Macaca mulatta: one gene and its partners. The main gene of each other region encodes a partner of the protein of the gene in region 2 in a complex. Links are inferred from orthologs where the notes say so. Each region holds a gene or a part of one and is shown on either strand. Other genes may lie near its edges.

The links.
Region 1: DHX29 (region 2) and EIF1AX share a complex: the UniProt entries of both Homo sapiens proteins name them as parts of the 43S pre-initiation complex. The link is inferred for Macaca mulatta from reciprocal best matches to the Homo sapiens genes DHX29 and EIF1AX.
Region 3: DHX29 (region 2) and EIF1AY share a complex: the UniProt entries of both Homo sapiens proteins name them as parts of the 43S pre-initiation complex. The link is inferred for Macaca mulatta from reciprocal best matches to the Homo sapiens genes DHX29 and EIF1AY.

What each region holds. Positions count from the first base shown.
Region 1 is NC_133426.1:19,866,572-19,870,222, forward strand, and holds part of EIF1AX (eukaryotic translation initiation factor 1A, X-chromosomal), read right to left. Parts: intron 3,175-3,651; exon of another isoform or gene 3,095-3,174; intron 2,942-3,094; exon of another isoform or gene 2,872-2,941; intron 2,649-2,871; coding exon 2,545-2,648; intron 852-2,544; coding exon 801-851; intron 1-800. UniProt on the Homo sapiens protein: Component of the 43S pre-initiation complex (43S PIC), which binds to the mRNA cap-proximal region, scans mRNA 5'-untranslated region, and locates the initiation codon. This protein enhances formation of the cap-proximal complex.
Region 2 is NC_133411.1:63,063,766-63,067,416, reverse strand, and holds part of DHX29 (ATP-dependent RNA helicase DHX29), read left to right. Parts: intron 1-885; coding exon 886-1,062; intron 1,063-1,759; coding exon 1,760-1,900; intron 1,901-3,139; coding exon 3,140-3,284; intron 3,285-3,419; coding exon 3,420-3,537; intron 3,538-3,651. UniProt on the Homo sapiens protein: ATP-binding RNA helicase involved in translation initiation. Part of the 43S pre-initiation complex that is required for efficient initiation on mRNAs of higher eukaryotes with structured 5'-UTRs by promoting efficient NTPase-dependent 48S complex formation.
Region 3 is NC_133427.1:8,120,860-8,125,236, reverse strand, and holds the start of EIF1AY (eukaryotic translation initiation factor 1A, Y-chromosomal), read right to left. Parts: upstream 2,850-4,377; 5' UTR 2,834-2,849; coding exon 2,818-2,833; intron 1-2,817. UniProt on the Homo sapiens protein: Component of the 43S pre-initiation complex (43S PIC), which binds to the mRNA cap-proximal region, scans mRNA 5'-untranslated region, and locates the initiation codon. This protein enhances formation of the cap-proximal complex.

The DNA of each region.
Region 1 (3,651 bases), on a different chromosome or scaffold from region 2:
TGTTACTCATTTCGGACCCTTGGTGTCCTTATCTATCGAACAGGAAATTACTTATTCTTCCTATTCCTGGGGTTATTGTTAGATCATAAGAAAAAAAGGGACATTAAAATGGTATGAATTTAAAGCAAGCTTTCTCACCTCAGCGCTACGGATTATTGTGAGGTGGACTGTTCTCTGTTATGGGATGCTGTCCTGTGCCCACCTCAGCCTCTATTTACTACACGCTAGCAGCACTGCACCCACCCCCCAGTTGTGACAACCAGAAGTCTCCAGACACTGCCAATGTCCCCTGGAGGGCAAAATTGCCCACGGTTGAGAAACAATGGTTTAAAGTGAAGATTTAAATTATTTATTCTGGATTAAAAAAAAAAAATCAAAGCATGCTCAAGGCTATACAAATAGAGACAGTATCACACAGGGATGATTTCCAATAGGTGGATGTCAAATGGATTTCACAGACCCACAATGAGTCTACAGAGTCAAGGGTTACGATCATGAAAGGCAATCACCATTTTTTTTCTTTCCCAAGTGCTCCTCTATATTTATAGCACATACCTATGTAGTGATGTGTATTATAATTACTTGTGTGCTTAATTCTCTCCACTACCAGGCTATGAGCCTTTTGTGGGATGGGCACTTAACTCATTCAGCTGTATCCTCTAGAATAATGGCTCCCAGATTTTGATTTAAACATAATCCCTGGGATACCTAGCACAATGCCTAAAATGAAACTGGCTCTTAAGAAATGGCTCATCAAATTCAAGCCAGTAAAATATGAAAAATTTACATGTAATTTTTACCTGGTAGTCTCGGAGACCGACCAATATAATGTCCGAGGTATTTATCCAAACCTACAAAAGAAAAGTCACTGCCCGTCATATTTCAAATAACGAAGAATCAAGAAATTCCAGAGTAACAATCAATTAGTTTAGAAATTAAAAGATTTTAGGCCGGGAGCGGTGGCTCACGCCTATAATCCCAGGATTCTGGGAGGCCAAGGTGGGCGGATCACCTGAGGTCAGGAGTTCGAGACCAGCCTGGCCAACATGGCAAAAACCCATCTCTATTAAAAACTACAAAAATTAGCTGGGCGTGGTGGCAGGCACCTGTAATCCCAGCTACTCGGGAGGCTGAGGCTGGAGAATCGCTTGAACCCGGGAGACGGAGGTTGCAGTGAGCCAAGACTGCACCACTGCATTCCAGCCTGGGCAACACAGTGAGACTCCGTTTCAAAAAAATAAACTTCTTTAAAAGAAAAAAAAAAAAAAAAGAAATTAAAAGATTTTAGTTTGGGCTGGCTCACACCTATAATCCCAGCACCTTGGGAGGCTGAATCTGGCAGATCACTTGAGGTCAGGAGTTCAAGACCAGCCTGGCCAAAATGGTAAAACCTTGTCTTTACTAAAAATACAAAAATTAGCCAGGCGTGGTGGTGCATGCCTATAATCCCAGCTACTCAGGAGGCTGAGGCCAGAGAAACACTTGAACCTGGGAGGCGGAGGTTGCACTGAGCCAAGATTACGCCACTGTACTTCAGTCTGGATGACAGAGCGAGACTCTGTCTCAAAAAAAAAAAAAAAAAAAAAAAAAAAGAAAGACCCCCATATCAAATTTAAAAAAATACAAAATCAGAGTTGGGACTTTTAGTCAACCTGATTAATAAATCTGCCTGAATAACTACTGTGATGGTGAATTAATCATTACTTTCCAAGGCAGTCCATTCACGATGACATTCAGGAAATGCAACATTAATACAATGCTTATGTAATATAACTCATATTCAAATTTTCTTAATGTACATTTCACAGCTATATGTCCAATTCCTAAACCAGAATCCAAACAAGGGCCACCTACTACATTTAACTGTCAGGTCTCTTTAAGTCTCCTTGAAACTAGAATAGTGCCCCAACTTTTTTTTTTTAAACTTTCATGACAGTAACATTTCATTAAGAGCTGGGCCATCTGGCTAGGTACAGTGGCTCATGCCTATAATCCCAGCATTTTGGGAGGCCAAGGCGGGCTGACTGCTTGAGCTCAGGAGTTCGAAACCAGCCTAAGCAACATGGAGAAACCCCATCTCTACAAAAAATACAGAAATTCGCCAGGCATGGTGGCACAGGCCTGTAGTCCCTGCTACATGGGAGGCTGAAGTGGGAGGATCACTTGAACCAAGGAGGGTGAAGCTACAGTGAGCCCAGATCATGCCACTACACTACAGGCTGGGTGATAAAGTAAGACCCTGTGTCAAAAAAAAAAAAAAGACAAGGAGAAAAAAAGCTAGGCCTTTTGTTTCTGCAGAATGTCTCTCAATTTGGACTTTTTGGGCAGGAATACAACGTAAGTGATACAAATGATTCTTTAACATTAGAATCTGTATAAAATTACCATTACAGACCTTGTTATTTGCCTTATAGGTAAATCACTGTTTACCTAGGTAAGTCTTTTGGGAATTTCCAAAAATGAAGTCCATGGACAGTTAAAAACTGTTAGAGGGATTTTCCCCCTTAACCAATTTTATATTAAAGTAAAACAAATCACACCTACCTTTTTTCTCAATTTTCCTCTGATGTGACATAACCTCTTTACACCATCAAAACACATTGCTTCTAGCCGTCCATTTCCCAACATTTTGATTACCTGAGCATACTCTAGCGGGGAGAAAGGAAAAGGGTATGGAATATTGTTCAACTTTTGATAACAGCAACTTCAAGTCCACATAAAACTGTCAAGAGAATAAAGTTGCACCAGTTGGGAATAAATACATATATTAAAAATATAAACAAACATAAGGGAGTGATAAATATCAAGTTAGTTAATGGCAGAGCTAGAACCAAGACTCTATAATGCCATTTCTTTCTTTCTTCTTTTTCCTGAGCTCAGGTCAAGTGTAGAAACCTTCACAGTTACAAAGGTCAGTAGTAAAACCTTTACATCATTGCCCAGAAATGATTAGGCTTTCATGGACATACATACGCACCCCCTCACCCTCAATCTCATTCATTCCTACAACTGCTACCTTTATAAACACATGTGGGTGCACACACACACACCAGACATATGCCCTTATTGTTTTACATTGTTTTCTAGTTTTGCTTCTCAGAACTGTAGAGATCATGCATCAGGTAGACTAGAAAACCTTCTGAAGTTCAGATTTGGCTAGTTTCATCACTGATCCACTTCAGTAAAAGCAGATCTCAGAGAATGTAATGCATTTCTATAACATACGGTCTCTGCTATTAGACATGTTTTAATTATCAACTCATTCTGAATAAGTAGATTAACTACCCCACTTTTAGCTCTCCTTTACCTCAGTACCTTTAGGAGCAATTCTCATATAATTTTTAGTTCATTTAGCAAACAAAAACAAACTTCAAACAATGTCTTTTTTGAATTAGAATATGACTAACCCCCAGAGAGGATGTCCATTAATTTGTAAATATACTGAGACTTCACTTTGAAAGGCTCAGTAGTGGGGTTGACTTGTGGAAGTGAATTACTCAGACTACAGTGAGCCCAGCACCCACCTACCACCTCAACATGGTTGGTCAACTCAAAGGCAGCCTTTCTTCCGAAGTGAGAGAAGTTGTAGTAATAAAACAGTGTCTGCCCAAGTCAAGTCAGCTGCTATTTTAGAGGCAAGGATGACCAAGG
Region 2 (3,651 bases):
TAGAATCAACAGATACTAAAGTTCTGACAGTATACCTCATCCATGCTCTTCCCTAAAATGCATGTGTTGGAAGAGCATAAAACCCTTTTTTCTGACAGTGATAGAGATTCTCTTGGATTCCTGCTAGTTAATGCCTCTTTTTCTACCTAGTAGATAAACCATCTGTCTTGTAATGGTGACAGTATAGTTTTATATTAGTGGCAGAGATTTAGCAGTCACTCTTGCTTCTAAGTGAAATTTGGGATATACCCTACATCTTTTCTTTCTTCTTTGAGACAGAGTCTCACTCTGTCGCCCAGGCTGGAGTGCAGTGGTATGAGCTTGACTCACTGCAACCTCTGCCTCCTGGGTTCAAGATTCTCCTGCCTCAGCCTCCCAGGTAGCTGGGATTACAGGTACACACCACCGTACCTGGCTAATACTTGTATTTTTAGTAGAGACAGGGTTTCACCATGTTGGCCAGGGTGGTCTCAAACTCCCGACCTCAGGTGATCCGCCCGTGTCGGCCTCCCAGAGTGCTCAAGTATGAGCTACTGGCAATAAGGTACTCCTTTTTCACGCATCCCTCAAACTTAGAGTTGTACCCGGCCTTATCAGCTACATCTGATCTGATTTGCGAACCATCTCCTAGGGTAGAGTCATGCTGTCATGGCTAATCTAGTTCATTATATGATTTTCAGTGACTTCAATTTTAGAGAATGACTTTATTTTCAGTTCTGAAGATCTGCCTTATTTAAAACATACAGCTTCTCCCTCCCTGCACATGTACTGACTGTACTTAGATATTGAATAACTTTTAGTAAATCTGGGTGTCTGATTGTTCAAGCTTCTTACTAGAATTTATACAATATATGATGAATTTTTTTATTCCCTTTTTAAAACTAGGTTCATGAAAGAAGTGTCCAGTCAGACTTCCTACTAATTATCTTGAAGGAAATTTTACAGAAACGTTCTGATCTACACTTGATTCTAATGAGTGCCACTGTGGACAGCGAAAAATTTTCTACGTATTTCACACACTGCCCTATTCTCAGAATTTCAGGAAGAAGTTATCCTGTTGAGGTAAGTTTTCTTTATAATGTGTGTATAAGCAGAAACTGCATTACCAACAGGTTCTTTCCCTAGGAGATGGGTGCTTGTAGTCTGAGGCCAGAACTATTCCTAGGTTCAGTGAGTCGACAGAGGAGCGGGACACAGCCTTAAGAATCAGATGGCTGTTACTGCCTTGCCTGAGGCTGGATAGGAGAGAAAGGAGGGTGTTGACTCAAGACAGCCCTAAGGGCTAAAGAACATAAAACTATTTTCACATGAAAATCATTATATTCAGATTAAGAGTTGCCGCCCTTCCCTGGTCATCTAATGGTCAGGGAGAAAAAAAAAAAAGAGTGGCTACCTGGCAATAAGGAACTCCTTTTTCACCCACCCCTCAAATTTAGGGTTGTCTTTGAAGCTTCCTTTTTACATATTCAATTCTTGATTCTTACCTTTTCAGTTCAGCTAATATAATCTACTCTTAACTGTTTCACATTATATGTATATATATAAATATATCTCATAATGTAATTTGTCTTGAGGCTTTAGAGACAATCCCTCTTTGTCAACCAAGTCTTCATTCCCAAATAATACTAAACATTTTTTTCATAATATTCTAAATTAGCGTTTGGTGACATTCAAAAGGTGGTGTCCCCTTTTTCTCTTTAAAATGATATTTACTGAAATGAATTTGAATTCACCCATTTATATACCTTATTCTATGCAGGTTTTTCATCTTGAAGATATAATAGAAGAAACAGGTTTTGTACTGGAGAAAGACTCAGAATATTGTCAGAAGTTTCTGGAAGAGGAAGAAGAAGTAACCATTAATGTTACAAGCAAAGCAGGGGGAATAAAAAAATATCAGGTAAAAAGAAAATATTTTGAAAGATATCAGATAATGATATCCAGGGCCTAACCTGCCACAAGAGTTTCAAAATCATATGGTTAACACAGTGAATTTGAGTATAATTTGATAGATGAGGAATAGATCTGAGAATGAACGAATTTTAAAGGTCGTTTCTTTAATCTTTATTTCATAGACTGTAATCTTTGATTTGTGATACTTTGATTGTCCTCTTAAACTATTCTGGGCCGTCTAGGTACACATACAAAATCAAGGACCATACAAGTTAGAAGCAACTTCTTACAACAATTTTGTAACAGTGATCAGTTATTGAGGAGTACATAGTAGTGATTTTTCTCTACTTCATCTCAACACCATAGGTGATCAGGATAGGGCAGGTCTCAAATCTAGATCCTTGCCATTGGTTTTCTTAGCCTCTGTCCTGGCAGGAGCAGGGCAGAGGCAAGATGGTGATAGGTAGATAGTGACAGATAGATAGATAGATAGATAGATAGATAGATAGATAGATAGATACATACATACATACATACGTACATACATACATACATACTGAAGCTGTGTAGGGCATAGTTCTTTCTGGGAAGTTCAAATATCAAAAAAACAATGTTATCCTGCATTTTAGCCAGTGGTACTAGATCCAGCATTTTTGTCATATCCATGATATTTCATGCATGTTTCCAATTTGATGAAAACACAGAGTTAAAGTTATCTTTATATTTTTATTAAGCAGATAGACCAAGAAAGCAAAAAGTAAAATCTTCCCCTAAAACACCAGAGGTAAAAATTACTAACTAAAGAAAGACTTTAGAAAAGTATAATTATTTCAAAAGAGATGACTGGAATTCAGGAGCCAAAGTACAATGTAGAAGGAATGAGCCAGGTACAAACTACTTATTAAAGTTATGACCTCTCTTGGCCTGGCTGCTTTTTAGTTGCCACAGAATGATGCATACATGATTACAATATGCTTTTCTACAATTATTTTAGTATGTATATGCCAAGATAAAAAGGTTTTGCTATACCTAAGGGCTGGATGACATTAAATTATAGGAGAGAGATGATACTTTCTGATATTCTCGCCACTACTAAGTATATTCTTTCTGTATCTTAACAAAATAGTAATGGTGACAATGAGAAAAATATAGATTTGATGAATGCAAATACCGCCTTTTTTCCTTCTTTGTCTTACAAAAATACTTAATATTTTTATTCAGCTCCCTCTGGTTGGATTTCTTTTAGGAATACATCCCAGTTCAGACTGGAGCAAATGCTGATTTAAATCCATTTTACCAGAAGTACAGCAGCCGCACTCAGCATGCTATTCTATACATGAATCCTCATAAAATCAACCTGGATCTCATTTTGGAACTTCTTGCCTACTTAGGTATATTTCTATTTCTAATGGGTCTCCATTTTATTTGATAAAACATTTCTACTATCTTGAGATGTTTTGTTAATATTTTATATGCTGTTCCTTTTATCTTCTTATTTTGAATATTGTATCTTTTTAAAATTTCAGATAAAAGTCCCCAGTTCAGAAATATTGAAGGAGCAGTATTGATCTTTTTACCAGGTCTTGCTCATATTCAGCAGTTGTATGATCTTCTATCAAATGATAGAAGATTTTATTCTGAACGGTAACTACACATCTTCATTATATTCCTGGTTGTTTTAAAATAGGAAAATATTTGGTACATTAAAACCTTTGATCAGAGTTTTCAAAGTTTTTTCACCAAAGGTTAAAATTGCCC
Region 3 (4,377 bases), on a different chromosome or scaffold from region 2:
GGATCGATTGAAGAATTTGAATAAAAACGTTAACACTGCAAATAGAATAAAATATATATACCTGGCTACCGCAAAGCCAGACATCTAACTTCTTGAATCCACCCACTACCTCTGGGGCAGTCTCACATTGTTCTGTGCTACTATAAAAGAAATCTGGGCTTCCACAACTTCGTGATTTATCCAGATTCTGATGCCTTCTTAGGGTATGCCAAAACTAAATTTCTACAAAGGAAAACACATTCTATATTTCGAGCCATTAATCGTGACTGAACTTAGCTGCGTCAGGACAAAGATCATACCTGCTTTGCTTACTGGGTTTTATAAAAGTTTGGCAGCTTTTCAAATGACTAAATCATGATTAGTTACACATTTGCAAAAGAATGGCAACTTTTAAATTGCATACAGCAATCTCAAAGGTGGGAGCATCTTACTCTAGCTCTTCACAAGTAGGCCAAAGGATGCCCTTTTCCTGATGTGAGGATGGGTTTCTGAGATTTCTGCAAAAAACCAGCTGCATGAGTGCAAAGAAAAAGTAATTCCACATATGGCCCATGCTCATTTACATGTTTATTTGGATAAACCTCACCACGACAATATTGACAGACATCTGGATTTTCAAATGAAAACAAAAACAAAAATACACAAAAAGCCAAATGAGCAAGTTTTACTTCTATATTAGTAAGTCTCATCTCATAAAACGTAGGGGTCTTCAAAAATATCCTTCAACTAAGTATCCCAGAGGATAACACTGATTTTACACAATAATAAAAACATTCAATTCAGGATGGTAAGTAAATCTTAAAAATAAATTTGGGAGAGGTAACAGAGGACTTTAACGAATCTGTGTTGTAATTCCTAGAGGTATGGATTTCCTGGAGTTCACTGTATTACTATACTTTTTTTTTTTTTTTTTTTTTGAGACGGAGTCTTCCTCAGTCGCCAGGCTGGAGTGCAGTGGCGCTCCGCTCACTGCAAGCTCCGCCTCCCGGGTTCACACCATTCTCCTGCCTCAGCCTCTGGAGTAGCTGGGACTACTAGTAGCCACCACCACGCCAGGCTAATTTTTTTGTATTTTTAGTAGAGACGGGGTTTCACTGTTAGCCAGGATGGTCTGGAGCTCCTGACCTCGTGATCCACCCGCCTCGGCCTCTCAAAGTGCTGGGATTACAGGCATGAGCCATCTCGCCCGGCCACTGTACTTCTTTTATGTGCCTCAGATATGATACAAAAATTTGTTTTCAATTTACCAGAATTAACCAAATCCTGATTATTCTCCTTCTACCGTAATACCATGTAACAGATTCCACTTTAAATTATATTTTAAAAGAATGAGGCTAGGCATGAACATATAACAATTAAAATCGTTTAATATTTTATCTTGCTTTCTTTCTATGACCAACAAATCCATACCTTCTCCTTAAACAAACCCTATGTGTTTTGGTGATACTCTTTACTGAGAACCTTCTTAAGCATCACTCAGTTTAAAAGTTCTACCCTACAAGAATAAAGGAAGCTTTACTATTTTAAGGCTAGAGTCACGTACAGGGATAGCAACATCAACAAAGATTTAATGGACATTTTGCAAAGGGAGATACTGTGATCTTTAGAATCGATAACTTAAGAGAACTGAGAATCTCATCAAGAGAAATAAAAGTGAGAACATACTTACTGAAGTTGTTCAGTACCATGTGAGAAAATGTTAGTGAAAATCATAAGCCTTTGCTAACTCTAATTAGACTTCTCCCATAATACACTTTTATCCTCGAATAATTTTGCAGTAAAACAAACAAATCTTATACAAACAACTCATTAGTGGGTTTTGGGGAGAGCAAAGAGTAATGTCCAGAAAACAGAGCCCTGTACTGTCACCAAGTACCTCGAATTGTGTGTCGTAACAGCTATAAAGAGAAAATGAAACAGACTCCTTGGTGCCAACAAGCAAGTAAAAAGAAGACAAATTGGTGTGGGTCCCAAGAAGGAATAATCTAAGCAGAGTTTTTGTGTACTAAAAATATGGTCCTCTCCTGTGGAAAATAATACATTTTGTTTCCACCTATAGTTTTCTTCAAGTAATTACAAGGGCATTAAATGTGAGCGATTACCTCAGGTCTATATAAAGGAGAATTTCTTTCAGAAACGACTGAGCAAGAGTTCTGCCGAGGTTAGACCTCCTACTTTAGAAACTGTAAGTAAACTTATTTTCAAGTCTAACCTTGGTGTGAAAGTTTAAACGCTGAATGAAGGGAAGGTTGATGTCTTTACTCCCACGATATTTGTCGGATACGGAAGTTAAAAACTTGCCTAAATATGTAACAATTCTTCTGCAAAAGAATGTTACACTCTATAAGGGGATGGGGTAGAGTAAAATGCCAGAGACGAACCTAAACATGTTTCAAGGTTTCCCCACTGTTTAATAAGGAAAAAGGAGTATCCTTAGCAATACTTTTAACTGTCCAGATACGTAAATCTTCTAAGTTAAGAACTGCTTCAAAGGAAAGTAGCAAGGCAGTTTGCAGGTGCCTACTCTGGGAAGCCAGGCCGTCCGGTTAGGGTCCCTCAACCCTCCGCTACCTACACGCCTTCCGTCTGGCGTGAAACAGTAGCAAAAGCCCGCTACCTTCCGAAGCAGGCCCAACAAAAATGGCGTCTCTCCCACCCAATGTGACCAAATCGGGCATTCCCAACTCCTTTCCCCAACAGAGTGCAGGGTGCGCGGTGCCCAGTTCCGCCGGAAGAACAGTTACTGCGGCCTGGAACAGACGTCGGGGTTACTGGCAGAGCAAGCCGAGGTATAGTCCCAGACGCTTACAGCAGTACCTTTATTTTTGGGCATAGCGGTGAAGACAGCCTCGTGGGACCTCTTCCGACTCCTTTCTGGCGGTTACTACTTCTCTAAGAGCAGGCTGACCTAAGATGCCTCAGGTGGGTGCGCACAACAGACTGGCCACGGAACTCTCTGCTAAACTGCGGACGCACACTTTCTGGCGTCAGCAATAGGCGACGCACCTAATTGCGATACTTTTCCGCGCCTCTCTTCGCCTGAGGCGTGGCCAAATGACTGACACCTAGTAGACCCCATTGGAATACCGGAGAGTTTGGTGCCGGATGAATAAACAGGTAGCGGGGCGGAACTCAAGGTGGAGAAAGTGGAGTCAAGGATGGAACGGGGCGGTTACCTGGTGTCCGCCGCTTTGCTAAAAAAACGTTTTCCAGTTTCACAAGTTAGTGGGTCGTTTAAACACCTAAATTTTAAGAGAGCCGTTACTCTTACACAGTAATATTGGAGGACTGACTTAGGACAAGACCCTCTATGTTCAGAATGCTTCCTTCCTCCCTCTCTCGCTTCCTCCCTCCCTCCCTATTTACCTTCTTTCCTTCCTTCCCTCCCTCCTTCGGAGTTTCGCTCTTGTTGCCCAGGCTGGAGTGCAGTGGAGCGAACTGCCCGGGTAATTTTTGTATTTTTGGTAGATACAGGGCTTCACCATGTTGGCCAGGGTGGTCTCAAACCCTTGGCCTTGTGATCCATCAGCCTTGGCCTGCCAAATTCTGGGATTGCAGGCGTGAGCCACCGCGCCTGGCCTTTTTTTTTTTTCAGTCTCTGTCTTCTTTACCTCAGCACCTCACCCTAAACCATGTAAGTACCAAGGCCGGGCCTGTCGCCTAAGATTGCTACCACCCAGCGGAATACTGACAAACAGTAGACGGTAAATATGTATAGGAAATGGAAGGTAAATATATATAGGAAGGGGTGAGACTAAGCATCTGAATCTTACAGTAACCAAATGTCTCAAATGGACTGCCTGTTGTGAAATTATTTCAAGATAAAATTCCATTTGATTGTGATATGCAAGCATTTGATTTACTGGATTTGTTGTGTGTGCTACTATTGTGTTTAGAATGTTGGTATCTGTGTTAAGATATATTGGCTTGTTTCTTGTGATGACTTTGGCTTTAGGATCAGTATAATCCTGGCTTCACAGAGTGAATTGTGTAGGGTCCCTTTTTCTTCTGTGTTTTTGGACACATTTGATGTAAATTCGTTAATTCTTTAAATGGTCCAAGGCCTTAGTTTTGATTATGAATTCGTATTATATTTATTCCCGAGTCAGTTCTGGTAGTTTGTATGTATCAGAAATTTGTTCATTTTTTCTAAATTATCTAACTTGTTGGGTGTATAATTGGCTATAATACACAAAGAATAGTATCTTCCTAATCCTTTTTTTTTTCCCTTTCTTTCTGCAAGGTAAATAGTTTCTATGTATCAGGAATTTGTTCATTTATTCTAAATTATCTTATTGGGCATGTAACTGGCCATGATATGCATAGTATAGTATCCTCCTAATCCTTTTCTTTCTTTCTTTTTTTCTTCAAGGTAAG